Saccharomyces cerevisiae S288C: one gene and its partners. The gene in region 2 interacts genetically with the main gene of each other region. Each region holds a gene or a part of one and is shown on either strand. Other genes may lie near its edges.

Region 1 (5,184 bases), on a different chromosome or scaffold from region 2:
TATAATCTTTAGTTAATAAGTCGTACTCATCAAAATTGCCATAGGTGAAATTTTCATCGCTTTGGTTCAAAGTTACCATATTTTGCCTACCAATGCTGAGAACTGACTCCTTTGAATGTAAAACTGTGGATTCCTCATAATTTCTCTCTTCGGTAACGTCACTTCGATTATTGAGGCAGTCTTCATTAAAGTTTATTACAATGGATATGGTATCACCAGTCTTGAACCTACAATCATCTATTTTAGGTGAGCTCGTAGGCATTATTGGAAAAGTGTTCTTTCTCTTAATAGAAGAGATTAAATACCCGATAATCACACCCAAAATTATTGTGGATGCCCAGATATCTTCTTGGTCATTGTTTTTTTTCGCTTCAATCTGTAATCTCTCTGCAAAATTTCGGGAGCCAATAGTGACAACATCGTCAATAATAAGTTTGATGGAATCGGAAAAAGATCTTAAAAATGTAAATGAGTATTTCCAAATAATGGCCAAAATGCTCTTTATATTGGAAAATAAAATAGTTGTTTCGCTCTTCGTAGTATTTAACATTTCCGTTCTTATCATTGTAAAGTCTGAGCCATATTCATATGGAAAAGTGCTTTTTAAACCTAGTTCCTCCATATTTTAGTTTTTTATCGATATTGGAAAAAAAAGAGCTATCAGAAATCAGTCAATATATCATGTACCTATGGAACCTTATCTTTCTCAAAATAATAAATTATAGTGATACTTTTAGAATTGTGTCACTTTCTTTTTATTTGTACTTACAAAATTCGGCCGAGTTATCATCTCGGTAACCGAGAGGAAGAGCCCGAGCAGCTAAAAGCGACAAACCGTACAGATAAAATGTTCGTGCTAATCCAAACTGCAGCATTCCGTATAAATTTGTCAGATATACTGATCAACTTAGATAAAGTTCCCCACTCAACCTGCTTTTGTTTATTACTTGCAAGGTAGATGGATGGTCGAAATTGATCAAACAGTTCGTTTCTTCAACCCATGATTTTTCTTACGTTTCATCTATATTGTTAACTTGTTAGCGCGAGGTTTCGATTTCTTTGATCTGTCCTTATGAACTTTTTTTGATGTCTTTTTCTTGTCATTCTTTGCGTTATCTGTGCTTTTTGTAGGAAAAGAAAGCCCTAGCTCCAACTGAATAAGCTTATTCAAACTTAAACTAAGTTTTATATTTTCTGCAGTGTTGGTTCCGAATGACGCAGCTGAAAAGCCAGACGACCACGGAATGATAAAGATTCTAAAACGGTCAATAAGTAAAACTCCTCTCTTTAGGCCCTTTGGTGTGACAAGTGTCTCACTTATTTTACTGACAAACCGCTCCCCCAATTCACTAGATTGAAATCTTAGGCCACCACACTTCGCCTTGTGGTTGACTATTAATGACAATGAATTTCCATCCTTCCATTTCTTTATACCCAATAATTGCGAAACTGTATCAGTTATTTTCCATTCAGGGATCGAGGCATCAATATTATACAGAAAAAATGATTTGGTGGAGGGGTTTTTTAAAAACGATTCATTCAAGGGTAGTTTCTTCAAAATATGAGAAATGTCCACGGACGCGTACTTTTCCAAGTTTTTGACCTCATTTGCACCTTTTTCATTTTTATACAATGCAGTTGTGTTTTTTATTAACGGAGTACTTGGGCCATCTGATGTTGCTCGCAGAAGTATATTTTTCAATTTATCAACGATATTATCTGCTTCTGACGGATCACTCGTAATCTGAGCTCCTCCTAATTTCACGTTTTTTAGTGACAGAAACCTTTTCATCATGTCGTTTTTTGCTTCCTCCGTCATAACGTTTTCCTCGTTCACAAGGGATATTAAATGATCCCGCAGTTGTATAGGGATGTGCCATCTTGAATCAAGCATACAGCATTGACAAATGTTTCTCTGAGTGGCGCACCGTACACATATTAATGTTTTAATGATATTATTGCTTCGTTTAGACGTCTTAAAATGGTATAAGGTGAACGGTAAGGTACAAATCTTACATTCAGAGCCTTGTGGAATTTTAGTCATTCGTATATTAGCCTCATCACCTAAGCACTGCTCACATATATTGGGCGGTGGCTCATTAATTTCATCATTCATTATATTAAGGGTGCAATAACTCTTTTCCGTTAGCTACCTTCTATTCACCTGCTCAAAAGCCCTTCCATCATCATTACCACTTCTATCAATAAAATTTGCCATAGCATTTCTTTTTTTTTTTTTTAGTCCTTATTGCCTAAACGTCATCACAGGAGAGGGTAATCCCGGAATGAATAAGGTTTGAAACTTCACGTCCCTCCGGGTTGTGACTTAAAAAAATTACGAAAGAGAACCGACTATCGTTCCTGCTATTGTTCTTGGTGAGTATTACTAACCCGCTTAGTTTTATTACTATTTATCAGTCTTTTATTTGTACGTTATTTGAATATTTAAATGTTTTTGGCTGAGCTCACTCACATCAACTGCTAGCCTCCCTCCTCTTCCAGTTTCTTTTCTTCTTGTTTGCATGAGTTCGATAATGCTGATTACAGTTATCATGTCTACTAAACCTCTGTCCACAGCCCTCATGCGGACAGATATGATTTTTTTCACCTGTATGGATTCTGTTATGTCTTGAAAGATGACCAGAAGTGGTGAACCCAGTAGAGCAGATCTTACAGAAATGACGAGTCCTCTGTCCTGCTGTATTGGTTTTCGTAGATTTCAATTTTATCACGGTTTTTGTCGGTTTGCTTATTTTAATTGAGCTATATGGATCTGATTTACCGTTACCGGTATTCTCTGCTTTTACAATATTAATATTTTGCAATGGCAGTATCGGTGACGTTTTTCCACTTGCTGTTAATCTTGAAATAGTCCCGTCACTCGTTCTGTTCGCTTGTTTTCCGGAGAAAAAATCGAAAGCGCACTTATTCAATTTATCTTTCAAGTCATCATCAATTAGATGTGATGTTTTCATCAAGGGTATCAGGGTTTGGTATTTCCTTTCATTGTTAAAAGAGAACATTTCAGGCATAAGAGTTATCTGGGAGGGCGAACATTCGAAATTGATGGGAAATTCACATTTCCTATCTTTAGCTAGAATAGTTGACATCAAGTTGTCTTTGTAACCTATGGACATCTGGAAATTTTGTAGAAGCTTTATATTTTTTGTTCTTCGAACAGTAGCGAGTGCTCATATGACTTGGTGCCGGAAATTCATTTGAGCTGTCATAATATGATAAATATTTATATGTAAAAATTTAGGCCAGATAATATATAAAAGATAAACGATTTAAAGAGGGTGTAGGATTTGCCTGTTAGCGATGTAGGAGCTACTGCACGATGTAGCATGTAATAGCCAGACGTGATTCCCCTAAACTCAGGCCCTTCTCCAAGGAGAATGCAACGGTAGGCAGTTCGTTTGAAATTGAAACTTTTCTCAACGACAATGATGTCCCGCAGCATAAGAAAACATGAGATCAGAAAAGCGTTGCAAAACGCAGAAGCCACTTATCAAGAGCTACGGCTGCGCGTTTTTCTGGGACGTGCTGACAAACGAGAAAAAAGATGGCTTTGTATTCAGTTCAAGGCCCTGTGTATTTTTTTCCTTCAAGAAATTTTTATTTTGGCCTGGGGTCTTTAAACGGACGGGTGCCCTGAGAGTACTCTCGCATAATCCAGGGATGGCTTTTTCACAGTCGTTTAACATTCGTTTATGAAGTAAAGAAAAAAAATACCAAACCCCGTTAAAAGAGAAAAAAGGTAGCCGAACATTGAAGCAGCCCATGCCAGTTTGTCCTTGGGCAGATAGTTTTCCGTCTGGCTTGAAAGGTTATAGTCTCCTTTTTTTCTTGGCTTCGGGAAAAATACGATTTGTTTGTTATTCTATATGCAGAGCCGCTGCTCTGCAGGGATTTATGATCTCGAGTGCCATTGATCTTGAAGCATCTTTTGTTGAAAGGATTTGTATGACATCATACCCGAACTTTTTTAGCACGTGAAAATGGAGAAGTCTATGGTTTTAGAGGTTGCTATTAAGGCATTTTCTAAACTTGAGGGTTGTTTGATCTTATGTTGGTTGGTTGTAAGCCAGCCGGTGTAGCCACGTGTTAAATCTTGACTTTTTTTCCCGAAGAGGGTCTGGTCCTGTCTATTTTGTTTCATGCATATTTTTTCTCAAGGAGAAAGACTCTTCGCTGCGCCTTGGCATAATAACGTCTTCGGTAGGGTCCATTTTTTTAACGTTGGCGATGCCCATATTTAGCTCGTTTGGTCGTTCCTTCGAAAGATAATCGTTCGTAAATTAAAAATAAAAGAGAGTAGTTTTCGAGCAACGAGTAGCCAGCTGGTGCCAATTGTCAAGAAAGGAAACATTTCTTACGGATTGGGAAGAAGCACTAATCTCGAAAAAGAGAACGTTTTTAGAAAGTTTTAGAAGTTGATTATATTAATGAAGAAAAAATTTTCGAACTAACAATTACATAAAGAGAAGGTATAATAATGGAGGTAATTTTTCAAATATTTGTTGTAAAAGGTTCCCTTTTATAACAATAAAGCAGCTGCACCTGCAACAACAGCACCGAAAGAGGCAGCGCCTGCATTGACTCTTTGACCGGCATTGGAAGCAGTTTCGACTGTAGAAGTGCTGACAGAAGAGGTAGTTGGAGCGACAGAAGAAGAAACGGCCTTAGAAGATGATTCGGCAGATGATGATGGGGCAGCAGAAGAAGATGGGGCAGCAGAAGAGGATGGAGCGGCAGAGGATGTAGCTTCGGAAGAAGATGCAGCCTTGGAAGAAGATGCAGCCTCGGAAGAAGATGCAGCCTCGGAAGAAGCTGGGGAAACGGAGGCAAGAGCAGCAGCGATTTCAGAACTCAATCTTGTGGTGTACCATGGCAATTTAACAATTGTCTTAGTGATAGCATCAAAGTCCAATTCACTAAACAAGGTAGTGTAAGCGTCATCGGTGTAAGTCATGACTTGTTGATACACACTCAAGACATCAGATGGAATTTGGAATCCACTGTTGCCAGTTTCTAGACCCAAGTAGTCAGAAAGATGAGAGTTGATGTCACCGATAATAGCTTGCAATTCAGCAGTTTCGGCGGCGCTGGTGTCAGCGACGGCCAAAGAGGCAATGGCACTTAAAACGAAAGCAATCTTGGAAACGGACATTTTATTTTATT
Region 2 (4,518 bases):
CTTCTAATGAAAATAGCCCGATAGAATCTAGCACAAGGGACAAGAGTTGAAATAGCTGCGTGCTTTGGCTAGGGTTGAAGCATTCTGGTGAGCTGTCTTCACCACCGCTTGTTATGAACTCAATGAAATTTTGAACGTCTAATTTACTTAGTTTCTTCATTTCTTGTTTAATAGAGTCTCTGGTGAAATCCTGCAAAATCCTAAATGAGATATCAAGTAATAGTTCCCTGTTTCTGATAGAAAACAATTCTTCAAGTAGTTCATTTAATGGCAAGTTTGGGCATGTTACAATTGCTTGTTTAAATAATCTAGGTTGGTCTCTTAGTAAGGATAGCAAGTTGCGTGTACGACTCAATGGAAACAATGGGTGTGTCAATAAAAACGTTAAAGTTTTTGGATAATCATTTCCGCTAAACTTTCCGAAAATTAGATCTAAAACTTTATTCAAAAAGCCAGGATCAGAAATATATCTATCTTTTTCAGTATAATGTTCTTCTTTGATTTTTAGTTCTTTGAAAAATATGTCATCAAATGATGTAATGTCATTATCTTGAAGGGCTGAAAGCTTTTCAATAACTTCATTACAGTGGAGGACTGGAACGCTTGAATCCCCGCTGACGTCGTTACATTTCACTCTCTTGTCATTTATGTCTTTATCATCAAATAGCGGCTTTAAAATAACTGAGCTATCATTATTTCCAACTTGAAAACTCTTGCCTAATGAGTCCTTCAACGTATTAGTTCCAACATCAATATTAATTATTTCTAAGGAAGACGTTGGGTTTGGTCCATTTTTCGTTGAAATACCAATTGCTATTGTTTTTGAATTATGCGACTTTTCTGAATTGATCACTGCAGATTTTAATAGTTGGAATGTTTTCACGTGAGTTAATTCTCTTTGGCTTAAAGTAGAACAATGCAGTAAGTCTAGTAGATAAATGACGTTGTTTACGGTCAGTAGAACTCTGTTTACTGAAACAGGTTGGAAAGAGATTAAGTCATCTCCAGGACTGAGTTTATCCACCATCGGAAATTCAATAACTTGTTGCAATTGGCAATGTGGTAAAGAGTAAATGTATATTTTCCCCTGGTTCAATTTGTAAAGTTTTCCAAATTGATAACAAAGCTTTGAATTTTCAAAAGAAAATCCTTCGATGATAGTAGATGATAATTCTTTTATGGGCGAACTTTCTCCACTGCCACAATCTGTTAGCTCGAGCAATTTATAGCAGACTTTATCATCCTGTAATGGACAGAGAACAAAAACATATTCAGTTCCATTTTCAGTGAACCATTTAGCATATTTTAAGTTATCATAAGATATATCAAATGAATGCAAAAGTGTTAACTTAAAATCAAAAATTTCAATCAACCCGTTCTGTAAAATTGCAATTACTAAGCTGTTCTTGGTGTCAATTTTAATACTCATGACTTTGGCTTTCGCCTTGATCTTATACTGAGATAAAAATTCGTCTGAACCCGTGTATGCTTTATTGTCAATATCACTCTCACTCAGATGGTCATTTGAGGTATCAGTGGTATCTTCCAGTGCCTTAGTGATAACATTTAGCGTATAATTACCCTTATTTACCATTAAACCAAAGGCCCAAATTTCAACATTTCTTTTTTTTTGGGTGTTGATAGTCTTCTCGTTGTTGGCTTCATCATCGGTACTGGCTTCTATATTTCCGTCAATGTTCGCTTGACCTTTCTCAGCATTGCATGCCGTGATAATATTTGTAGAGGGTATTGGGTAATCGAATGTTAACTTTGGTGTAGGATTAATAATATATTGAGATATAGATGACCCGGAAATACCTAACGTTATGTTATTTGTAGATTCATTAAAGGTGCCATCTGCGACTTGAACGTAATCTGCTTGTAAAGAAAAATTGCTCAATGAAGCAATTTTTGGGAGAGTTGCTAGTCTAAATGGTTGAGACAGGGATGGCATTTTGAATCTTTACTATCCTCCGGAATGATTTGCTGTTCAAGGAGCGCTAGGTGTGACATATAATATTACAAATTTAACAGTGACCTCATCTCATCAAAGTTTTCAAATTTTTCAGGCATCTGCTACAGCATAATGAAAAAATTTGAAAAATACAGACATTTCCGTGTAGAATGACAAAAAAGCTAGAATATTACTATATTTTCCTTAAAAGAGCAATATTTGCGATGAGGGGCTCTCAATGACAATGTTTGACTTCTCTATTGAACTGTAAGCGAAGCAAAACCATATCTTGTCAAAGTATTCGAAGAATGGATTTTTACAAATTAGACGAGAAGCTGAAGGAGTTGAAAAGGAAAAGAGTAGATGTATCTATAAAGAGTAGGAAGTTGGCTGACAGAGAGATTCAGGAAGTAAGCGCAAATCGAAAACCAAGAGTATACAGTATGGAAGACGTAAATGATGCAGATGAATCAGTAGGAGATACAGAAAGTCCTGAAAAAGAGAAAGCATTTCATTACACTGTCCAAGAATATGATGCGTGGGAACGTAGGCATCCTCAAGGGAAGACTGGGCAAAGCCAAAGAGGTGGAATTTCCTATGATCAACTTGCAAAATTGAGTTATGAGAAGACCTTGCGGAATCTCGCTACGCAAACACAGAATTCGAGCAAACAGGATAGTTCCGCCGATGAAGAAGACAATAAAAACGTACCCAAGAAGGGTAGAATCGGCAAGGTACAGAAGGACACTAAGACGGGTAAGATAACAATTGCAGATGACGACAAGCTAGTTAATAAGTTGGCCGTTTCTTTGCAATCTGAGTCGAAAAAAAGATACGAAGCAAGAAAAAGACAAATGCAAAATGCAAAAACACTGTATGGGGTTGAAAGCTTCATTAATGACAAAAATAAACAATTCAATGAAAAATTGAGCAGGGAATCAAAAGGATCAGAATAAGCTTCTCTTTTATTTAGAATATACCGATATAACCAAAGGAAAGTTTTAATACCCTGGATTTTTCATCGACCGTCACGTGACGAGCTGAGGTTAAATGCCCGCAAAAGTGCTTCAGAAGAGAGTCCATCTTACTCGGTTATTTGAGCACGAAACACTAGAGAATAACTAACTGGTTGATAAATTGTTGATTGAGTAAATATTGGTACATAAAACGGTTACAAAGAGAGGTAGATTAGGAAGGGTGAAAATAATCAAAGGATAACTTGATGATACTCGACAAAGAATAGAAGAGAAAAATAAAATAGAGGTGGGATATTCCTTGAACAAAAGTGGAATATTATTTTTTTTAGGCATACATGACGTCTTCCTCAGTATGATATTCATACAAGGAATCGTCCTTTGGAAGGACGCTCGTATTCTTTTGTGAACGGTCATTTGGTATTTTGTGGTTTTCAGCCGCGTGTATACCTTCAGCTTGTTTGTGCTGCCTACTCAATATTTCTTGCTTCAAGGCCTCATCAGCGTTTTTCTGGCGAGTTTGTTCCTCGATAGCCTTTTCAGCTTGTAATCGCGTTCTTTCCCTCTTGACTGCCTCCAGTTCTTTCTCTTCGGTTGCCAGCTTATCCTGTAGTTCAGTCAATTGGTCATTATAGGTTTGCTTGACTTGAGTAATTTGCTGCTCATGATCTAATTGAGCCTGATGCGCTTGTTCCTCCAGCTCTTGGCGCTGTTTTTCCAATAAGTTCTCTTCTTTGCGTTTTCTTTCTTCAGCTTCTAGCTTCAACTGTTCTTCATGAGCGCGGCGCTCATCTTCGAGTCTTTTGGTAATTGCCGATAGTTGAGTTTTTTCATTGGCGTTTTCCTGCTTGATTATGGTCACTTCGTTCAATAAGCTTGATATTTGATTATCAATATCATTAATTTGTGGAAGATATTCCTTGTTCTCTACACTTTCCAAAACTTGTACATTTTTTTCATGCAGCTTCTTATTTTCTTCAGTTTGGGTAACCAAATCCTCCTTTTTCTTTTCCAGATTATCGATTTCGTTTTGAACTTTGCCTTGTTTCAAATTAATCTGGTTAATCTTAAAGATCTGAGCATCCAACTGTTGAGATAAGTTACTTAAGTTCGTGGTCCAGTCATTGAACTCCTTTTGGACATTCGTTTTCTCATTGTTCAAATCATCGATTTCTGACTTAACGTTGGTTTGTTTGTCCAAGACCTCATTTTTCTCCTGCAACTTTTGGTTTTTCATATTTTCAGTGTCTTTTAATATCATTAGTTTCTTATTATTATGCTCGGCATTAACATCAATGATTTTTTTGACCAACCGGTTTTTACTAACTTCAATTTTCTCAGAAGTTTCTTCTCTCATGGCCTTCATTGAATTTTCAATTTCGTCAATCTGATTTTGTAAATCTTGTAGCTTTTCTTTGTATTCTTTATTTTTAGCATCATATTTATCCTTTTCCTTTGCTCGAAGATCAGCTAACCATGCTTGATGAATTTTTTCATCATAATTGATTTTATCATAAACTGCCTTTGATAGGTAACCATGTTCTTTTGTCTTTACAATTAATTCAGGATTTTCTGGAGTGGCCACTGGAT
Region 3 (4,855 bases), on a different chromosome or scaffold from region 2:
ATCGGAATAGCTCTTCAGTTCAGTTACCAGTTCAGAAGCTGTAGTTTGTAGGTCATATTGTCGGATCAGATCGTTGATTGACACTTTTTTGATTAAGTTTTTGGACATATAAAAGTTTATGTTATTCGTATAGTTCTCGTAGACTTTGTCGCTCATTACCAAAAGTGCTCTATTATCATTTTTCGGACATTTAGACTGTATTTCCATGGTTACTGTATCTCTGGTGCTCAATTCATTTGTAAACCTTCTTCCAGTGGTGGGATGCAATAAGATGCCGCCTAAACCCCTCAATGCCTCTGCAGCCAAAAACTTCCAGTTATTTTCACGGTCATTTGGATCAATGAAGCCGGTAGGGTGTACCTGCACTTGATCCATATCAATCAATTCGGCACCCAACTTTGAAAGGATTTTTTGACCATCACCTGTAGTCTGTTTGCCATTAGTAGTTGGCAAGTGAATCAAATTTGGTGAGTACTCTTTCAACATTTCCTTAGAGTAACCAAATCCACCTGAGCAAAACACGACATGGTGTGACTTCATGATTTTACGGTTTCCGTTCTCGTCCATATATACTACACCAGTAACATGACCTTGATTATCAAGCTCGATATCCACTACTTCACTGTTTAGCATAATCTGCACGAGATTGGAATCTTTGGAAGAGATATCCTTTAGTTTTTTTGATAACGCTTGCACGATTTCAAAACCTGGTGGTAATTTGCCAGAAGATCTATGGGTCCTTGGAACAGAGTGACCGCCCAATTGCGCAAGGAGGTCTAATTTCAAATCGAATTCTGTTTGCAACCACCTGATAGCACTCTTGGATTCCTTAGTCAACTTATCCATCAGTGATGGAACCCCTCTGCCTTTAGCCGAATGCAAAGTATCTTTCAAAAACAATTCGGGAGTGTCCATTACCTTTAAATTTTGTTGAGTGTCTGTGTGAGCACCATTAATACCACTAGAAGCCTTTATAGAATTCCCACCAATAGAAGCCGCCTTATCCAAAAGCACAACAGGAATTCTGTATTTACTAATGAGACGATTACTTGTGGTTAAGCCTGCCAAACCAGAGCCAATGACCACCACTGGTTGTTTCATTGACGTTTGATCTGTGCCACTTAATGTTCTTTTCAAAACTATTATCAATACGAATATTGAGACGTAAATGAAAACCCTTCTCACAGATCTAATCATTTTCCTAAGACTCGGGATGATATAGAATTATTAAGGTATTTCCTATCATAAAATCTTTCCCTTTTCGGCGGTTTTGTTTTAAATCTGGATTTCTAAGCAAAGGATTTTCGCTAGTTTTTTTTTTTCAAGTAGCTCGTAAAAAGAAAACGAGAGCTACTCCTGCATGATTCATATAAGATTTGACGAGTGTATAAGATACATTTGTATTGGTGTACATTATGAAATCTATGTAATCTACCTAAGCGTAAAAAGGAGATCTTGCCTTCGATAACTAGTACGGTGGAAGAATTACATTTAATAACGAACGGGACAATATGATATCATAGAAGAAAAAAAAATGAGTCCCGATCACTATTTTACTTCATATCTGCAGCTCGGACATGTTTGAAGATTATAATGCTTGTGATGGTCATTCGAAATAGTGCCTCTTCTAAATGTTTGAATAATTTTCCATAGCTAAAGGTTAAGTTCATCCATTAGTTTCTTTTTTCTTCTTTGCACTAACCAATGCTCCATATCTGCCAGAGTTGGTACATGGATTTCTTGTGTCTGCCTTGACATTTCTTCTTCATCTTCATTCACAGGCACATTATAATGTGCTTTCAAAATGGATGTCCAGTTAGCCTCAAATTCGGTTAAGGCGGCTGTGACTTTGCCATGGTAATAAAAATCATTTCTATCCTTCGGTATGCATTTGGTGTTTATAGAACCCCCATCATTCTGCCTTTGAGACTGCTTGAGCCATTCTTTTACTTCAGGCAATTCCAGGGCTCTTCCAAAATATCTCTTACCATTTATCAGCTTTCCTGAATTCATCAGCACATGACTGTCTTCTAACCTTTTCCTCTTGGTTTTTTTTTCCATAAGTGTATGGTCAATGTGCCACTGCCATCTCTTCCATTCTTTGAAAAGATTATTAAGTTCGTCGTTAAGTTCCGCAATCTGCATTTCATTTAAAGACGGATCATATATTCTTGTGCTTTTTTGTTTTATCTCTTTACTTACTTGTCGCTTCCATTCGTTGGCCTCTTTTATGGATTTTACCTTAGACACGTTCCTGGGCCTCTGGTAACGTGAATAATCCTTGTATCCACCTGCCGACTCTGCTTGCTGCTCTTGAAATCGTACCAGAACTGAGTTGGCCTTATCTACATTTCTACTCATTTTGAATGCACAGGTATCTGATTACTGATGTGGTGCGCCTTGCGATATAACGGTGTGTCACTTTTATTTGCTCTTTCATGCATCCTGAAATTATTTCACCGCACTACGCAAAGAGAACGGAGAAAAAGGTATAATAGGGCAAATGATCATTGACATCGTGATCGTAAGCCAAAAAAAAATACAATAGGCTCCCTAAATAAGTAGAGTAAAAGCTCTTGAGATGAAGGAGAATGACATGAATAATGGCGTAGATAAATGGGTAAATGAGGAAGATGGTCGAAATGATCATCATAACAACAATAATAACTTGATGAAGAAGGCCATGATGAACAATGAGCAAATTGATAGAACTCAGGATATCGACAACGCCAAAGAAATGTTGAGGAAAATATCAAGTGAAAGCAGCTCGCGCAGAAGCTCCCTGTTGAATAAAGATTCATCTCTCGTGAACGGCAATGCAAACAGTGGCGGTGGTACGAGCATTAACGGAACAAGAGGAAGTTCTAAGAGTAGTAATACACACTTTCAGTATGCCTCCACGGCGTATGGTGTAAGAATGTTGAGTAAAGATATATCTAATACCAAAGTGGAACTGGATGTGGAAAATTTGATGATTGTTACGAAACTCAACGATGTCTCACTGTATTTCTTAACAAGAGAGTTGGTAGAATGGGTTTTGGTACATTTTCCACGTGTGACTGTTTATGTGGATTCCGAATTGAAAAACAGCAAAAAATTTGCCGCTGGCGAGTTATGTGAAGATAGTAAATGTAGAGAATCAAGGATCAAGTATTGGACAAAGGATTTCATCAGGGAACATGATGTTTTCTTCGATTTGGTAGTGACTTTGGGTGGCGACGGTACTGTTCTTTTTGTAAGTTCCATTTTTCAGAGACATGTACCACCCGTTATGTCGTTTTCATTAGGGTCTCTAGGATTTTTAACAAATTTTAAGTTTGAACATTTCAGGGAGGATTTACCTCGGATTATGAATCATAAAATCAAGACAAATTTACGGTTGAGGTTGGAGTGCACAATTTATCGTAGACACCGCCCTGAAGTAGACCCAAACACGGGGAAGAAAATATGTGTGGTGGAAAAACTAAGCACACACCACATTTTGAACGAAGTGACCATCGATCGTGGTCCAAGTCCTTTTCTATCCATGTTAGAATTGTATGGTGACGGCTCATTAATGACCGTTGCGCAGGCGGACGGACTGATTGCTGCTACTCCGACTGGGTCCACGGCCTATTCTTTGAGTGCAGGTGGGTCATTGGTATGCCCAACCGTCAATGCAATCGCTTTAACACCCATTTGTCCACATGCATTGAGTTTCAGACCCATCATCTTACCAGAAAGTATAAATTTAAAAGTGAAAGTCTCGATGAAGTCAAGGGCTCCAGCATGGGCGGCTTTTGATGGGAAAGATAGAATTGAATTGCAAAAAGGTGATTTTATAACCATATGCGCCAGCCCATATGCTTTTCCAACCGTGGAAGCCTCGCCCGATGAGTTTATTAACAGTATCAGTCGACAACTAAACTGGAATGTGAGGGAACAACAAAAGTCCTTTACGCATATTTTGTCCCAAAAGAACCAAGAAAAATATGCACATGAGGCGAACAAAGTCAGAAATCAAGCAGAACCTTTAGAGGTAATAAGAGATAAATACTCTCTGGAAGCAGACGCTACTAAGGAAAACAACAACGGAAGCGATGATGAGAGCGACGATGAGAGTGTAAACTGCGAAGCTTGCAAATTAAAGCCTTCGAGCGTCCCAAAACCTTCTCAAGCAAGGTTTTCAGTATAATGTTACATGCGTACACGCGTTTGTACAGAAAAAAAAGAAAAATTTGAAATATAAATAACGTTCTTAATACTAACATAACTATTAAAAAAAATAAATAGGGACCTAGACTTCAGGTTGTCTAACTCCTTCCTTTTCGGTTAGAGCGGATGTGGGAGGAGGGCGTGAATGTAAGCGTGACATAACTAATTACATGATATCGACAAAGGAAAAGGGGCCTGTTTACTCACAGGCTTTTTTCAAGTAGGTAATTAAGTCGTTTCTGTCTTTTTCCTTCTTCAACCCACCAAAGGCCATCTTGGTACCAGGAATATATTTCTTTGGGTTAGTCAAGTACTCTGACATGTTATTTTCGTCCCACAACACGTTTTTCTTGATATTGGCATCTGTGTACGAATACCCTTCAGCTTGACCAGAGTGTCTGCCAAAGATACCATGCAAGTTTGGACCAACCTTATGTGGGCCACCCTTTTCCACGGTGTGGCATTGTAGACATCTAGTCTTGAAAAGTGTAGCACCTTTCTTAGCAGAACCGGCCTTGAATTCAGTCATTATTAATTTAGTGTGTGTATTTGTGTTTGTGTGTCTATAGAAGTATAGTAATTTATGCTGCAAAGGTCCTAATGTATAAGGAAAGAATATTTAGAGAAAAGAAGAAAACAAGAGTTTTATATACATACAGAG
Region 4 (4,408 bases), on a different chromosome or scaffold from region 2:
AGAACTGGCCAACTTCCGTATTTTCGTGATTGCCTTGTAAATTGTTCAAGACATATGACCATGTAGCTTTCTTATTGGCGTATGCATATATGTTGACGTCGACTGCGCTGTGACCATGCGTGGTCCAGCCAATTTGGGCCCTAAATGATACCATGTCATTCAGTTTGTCTTGGATAGCATTTGCGTTGTCATCCAAATGAATTAATGTTTCTAAATCGCTATCCGTGTAATCGTAAATACCCAAATCTTTTTCCAGGATCTCATGTTTGATGAAATTTTCTATTTTGCTGCTTGCGCCCTTATGCTCATGAACAAAATCTACTAGTTTTCTTTTCAAAAACTCACCTGAATGGGTGGCGTTGGCGAGCACCTGTGGATACCAGACATACTGAGGATAGCTAGCAGTGACTTGTCTTGAAGTGACTAAACCACCCGTTTCATGATCCGACGTAGAGACCAAAACAGTCTCCGTATCGGAATTTTCAGCAAACTCCAAAACGTATTGGAATGCTTCATCGAAAGCCAACACCTCCCTTACCTGCGAAGCTGGATCGTTTTGGTGACCAGCATGATCAATTCTGGAGCCTTCCACCATTAAGAAAAACCCATTAGAATCTTTGTCCTCATTGGAAGCTTTTTCCAAGGCACCCAAAGCCACCTTGACTTGTTCCTTAAGGGAAGGATACTCCTTTTCATCTCTGTCAATTTCAAAAGGAATGTCGTTATCTGCAAAGAGACCCAAGAAAGGTAAAGTAACGTTTTCACCGTGGCTTTTCAACAAAGAATCAAAATTTTTACGGTCACCCACGTACTGCCAGCCATTAGATTGAGCCTCATCGATTAAATCTCTTCCATCTTTTCTAGCACCGTGGTGACCATATGGAGAAGCCTTTTCGCCTTGAGGGTAGAAATGGCTCCTGCCGCCACCCATGAGTAAGTCTACTACTCTCCCCAGAGGATATTCGCCTAACTGGTGCGTAGCGATAAGATCTTCCTGCCATCTGTAATCAACATGTGAACTGAATGAAGCCGGAGTGGCATCTGTGATTCTTGTCGTAACAACAAGCCCAGTGAGATAACCTGCTAACTTAGCCGCCTCGAGCACTGTACCACAAGGTCTGTGATGCGGATCAACACCGATGGCCCCATTATAGCTCTTTAATGCACATGCAAATGCGGTGGCGCCCGCAGCTGAGTCAGTGACTAGTGAGTCCGAGGACCTTGTTCTCGAAGACCCGATAAAATGCTCGTCAAGTGTCAGGATGTCGTCTATAGGTAAATCATTAACATGCTGGTTGAATGATCTTGCCATGGACAAAGACGCAGGTCCCATCCCATCCGTCACGAAGAATATGACATTCTTCTTCTTGTGTGATGCAGAACGTAATGCAAAACTGCTTGGAAATGCCAGTTGCACTAAAACCAGCAACAAACCAATACAGACCACAGTGGATACTATTATCTTTGATCTCTTCGAGATCCGTCTCTTTTTAGGACGAGAGCTCGAGTCAGATCCAGGAACAAGACGTGTCTGTTCGCTTGGTAATGTGTGAGTCATCATGCTGCTAATGCGCGTTCAAATAATGTCCCGTATGCTGATATGTAAATGTTTATGTAGCCACTTGCTGGCAAAATGTGGAGCACGAAAAAATATAAACGTTTAGATACACTTCTTTCTTTATATACTAAAATCCCTTTACTTTTCCTCTACGCGCGAAGCTTATCGCTATCGTCAATGCTGCTATTCATGTCGATGCTGCTCTTCCGTTAGACGCGCCTTACGAGGGGTGTACAAAGAGGACATCCGCTGCTGTTCTTGCCACTCGTTCGTCAGTTTTGCCCTCAACGCTTCACATTTCTTGTCAATCTGCTCTTCCGAGAGCGTTTCTTCCTCCTCCAGTCGGTCCCGTAGCTCGCTAACTTGTACTTCAATCTCACGTTTCTCCATATGAGTCTCTATCTGTTTCTGCACAGCAAGAGGCCTGCTTGCCTTGTCATGGCTGGCCTTTTTGATCGCATTTTGTCGTTGTTGCCGCTGCTGTTGACTACCCTGTGGTCTGCGCCTATTGTTGCTAGCAAGTGATCGCTGCACGTGGCCCGACGTAGATGACCCTTTTGCCGACTTGAGCCCTATTCCGTTGTACGACATGACTGGACGGTGATGCAGTAGCTGTTAACCGTCGAATGGTATTGTGTAGAGCTCAAATTAGGATTACACAGATTATAATACCACACTTATAGTGCCATTCTTGAGGTCTTACTTGATTCTTCCTTGCCTTTACCCGCACGCTTAATATAATTTTTCCTTCTTATCTGCTACGCCTTCTTCTAGTAGGAAAAAAAAAAGAAATTTGGTGAAGAAACAGTCTGAAAAGGAGATAATTTGCGATTTAATTCGTTTATACATTTTATGAATCTATAATACTGGAAGTGATATCCATATTCGCAAGCAGTTCCACTCGAAAGCATGGCCCTCTTTCTCAGTAAGAGACTGTTGAGATTTACCGTCATTGCAGGTGCGGTTATTGTTCTCCTCCTAACATTGAATTCCAACAGTAGAACTCAGCAATATATTCCGAGTTCCATCTCCGCTGCATTTGATTTTACCTCAGGATCTATATCCCCTGAACAACAAGTCATCTCTGAGGAAAATGATGCTAAAAAATTAGAGCAAAGTGCTCTGAATTCAGAGGCAAGCGAAGACTCCGAAGCCATGGATGAAGAATCCAAGGCTCTGAAAGCTGCCGCTGAAAAGGCAGATGCCCCGATCGACACTAAAACAACCATGGATTATATCACTCCATCTTTTGCTAACAAAGCTGGTAAGCCAAAAGCTTGTTACGTCACTTTGGTGAGAAACAAGGAGTTGAAAGGTTTGCTAAGCTCCATTAAATATGTGGAAAACAAAATTAACAAGAAATTCCCATATCCTTGGGTTTTCCTAAACGATGAACCTTTTACTGAAGAATTCAAGGAAGCAGTCACCAAAGCTGTTTCTTCCGAAGTTAAGTTTGGTATTTTGCCCAAGGAACATTGGTCATATCCTGAATGGATTAATCAAACCAAGGCTGCTGAAATTCGTGCAGATGCTGCCACCAAATACATATACGGTGGCTCCGAATCTTATAGACACATGTGTCGTTACCAATCTGGGTTTTTCTGGAGACATGAATTATTAGAAGAGTACGATTGGTACTGGCGTGTGGAACCAGACATCAAGTTATACTGTGATATTAATTACGACGTTTTTAAGTGGATGCAAGAAAACGAAAAAGTTTACGGCTTTACCGTTTCTATTCATGAATATGAAGTGACGATCCCAACACTATGGCAAACGTCCATGGATTTCATCAAAAAGAACCCCGAATACTTAGATGAAAACAACCTGATGAGTTTTCTTTCGAACGATAATGGTAAAACATACAATCTGTGCCATTTCTGGTCAAACTTTGAAATTGCAAACTTGAATTTGTGGAGGTCACCAGCCTACAGAGAGTATTTTGACACTTTGGATCATCAAGGTGGATTTTTCTACGAAAGATGGGGCGATGCTCCCGTTCATTCTATTGCTGCTGCTTTGTTTTTGCCAAAGGATAAAATCCATTATTTTTCAGACATTGGTTACCATCATCCACCTTATGATAACTGCCCATTGGACAAGGAGGTCTATAACAGTAACAACTGTGAATGTGACCAAGGTAATGATTTCACTTTCCAAGGTTACTCTTGTGGTAAGGAATATTATGATGCTCAAGGGTTGGTAAAGCCAAAAAACTGGAAAAAATTCCGTGAGTAGAAATCTTGGAACATACTGTTTCTTTGTTTTGACTTTATACTTTCTATTTATATTTTATTTTTATAACTGGTTAAGTACACATAGGACTGCGTATCAAACATATAAGTGAGGCAATCCACATTTTTTTTAAAGATTCGAATATTTTTATTCTCATTAGCGTATTCCGAGAATAGTTCGAAAAAATATAAGGTATATCAAGAGTTTTTACAAGTGAGAGGAAAGAGGAATAAGCTATAAGCAACAAAAGCGTAAAAAAATTAGCTGAAGACATAGAACTATGGATGTTCTCAAAGAGGTGTTGTCACTAGACCAAGATAAATTTGACCAGCTGAAGGAAACGAGCCGAGATAAAACAAATGAAACGGATGATCCTTTTGAAAACTATTTGAAGGATTGTAAATTTAAAGCGCCTTCAAACAAAGATCAGTCACCATTTGCTAAACTTAAATCATTACAGGAAACTCATTCTAACAATGAAGCGGCTATTAATATAATTATTCCTCAATTGATTGATTACTTAACCGAATTCACTAATAGGTTATCAAATTACACACAAGATTTAGACTTCATTAAAAAAAAGTCCAATGAATTACAGTCATTGCTCGAATACAA

The links.
Region 1: mutations in SYF2 (region 2) and ECM2 together harm fitness more than expected from each alone (negative genetic interaction), as found in Saccharomyces cerevisiae (3 studies listed by BioGRID).
Region 3: mutations in SYF2 (region 2) and ISY1 are lethal when combined (synthetic lethality), as found in Saccharomyces cerevisiae (4 studies listed by BioGRID, with this or other methods).
Region 4: mutations in SYF2 (region 2) and CWC21 are lethal when combined (synthetic lethality), as found in Saccharomyces cerevisiae (3 studies listed by BioGRID, with this or other methods).

Annotation. Positions count from the first base shown.
Region 1 is NC_001134.8:367,563-372,746, forward strand, and holds ECM2 (Pre-mRNA-splicing factor ECM2), read right to left. Parts: upstream 2,117-5,184; coding exon 1,022-2,116; downstream 1-1,021. Other genes in the region: CNM1 (Cnm1p), read right to left, coding at 1-622; NRG2 (Nrg2p), read right to left, coding at 2,475-3,137; TIP1 (putative lipase), read right to left, coding at 4,541-5,173. UniProt on the Saccharomyces cerevisiae protein: Involved in pre-mRNA splicing. Facilitates the cooperative formation of U2/U6 helix II in association with stem II in the spliceosome. Binds to RNA.
Region 2 is NC_001139.9:748,138-752,655, forward strand, and holds SYF2 (Syf2p), read left to right. Parts: upstream 1-2,262; coding exon 2,263-2,910; downstream 2,911-4,518. Other genes in the region: UTP8 (Utp8p), read right to left, coding at 1-1,954; YGR130C (uncharacterized protein), read right to left, coding at 3,257-4,518.
Region 3 is NC_001142.9:526,203-531,057, reverse strand, and holds ISY1 (Isy1p), read right to left. Parts: upstream 2,362-4,855; coding exon 1,654-2,361; downstream 1-1,653. Other genes in the region: OSM1 (fumarate reductase), read right to left, coding at 1-1,197; UTR1 (NADH/NAD(+) kinase), read left to right, coding at 2,582-4,174; CYC1 (cytochrome c), read right to left, coding at 4,394-4,723. UniProt on the Saccharomyces cerevisiae protein: Involved in pre-mRNA splicing and cell cycle control.
Region 4 is NC_001136.10:1,418,690-1,423,097, forward strand, and holds CWC21 (U2-type spliceosomal complex subunit CWC21), read right to left. Parts: upstream 2,150-4,408; coding exon 1,742-2,149; downstream 1-1,741. Other genes in the region: alkaline phosphatase PHO8, read right to left, coding at 1-1,561; alpha-1,2-mannosyltransferase KRE2, read left to right, coding at 2,468-3,796; VPS52 (Vps52p), read left to right, coding at 4,074-4,408. UniProt on the Saccharomyces cerevisiae protein: Involved in pre-mRNA splicing. May function at or prior to the first catalytic step of splicing at the catalytic center of the spliceosome, together with ISY1. May do so by stabilizing the catalytic center or the position of the RNA substrate.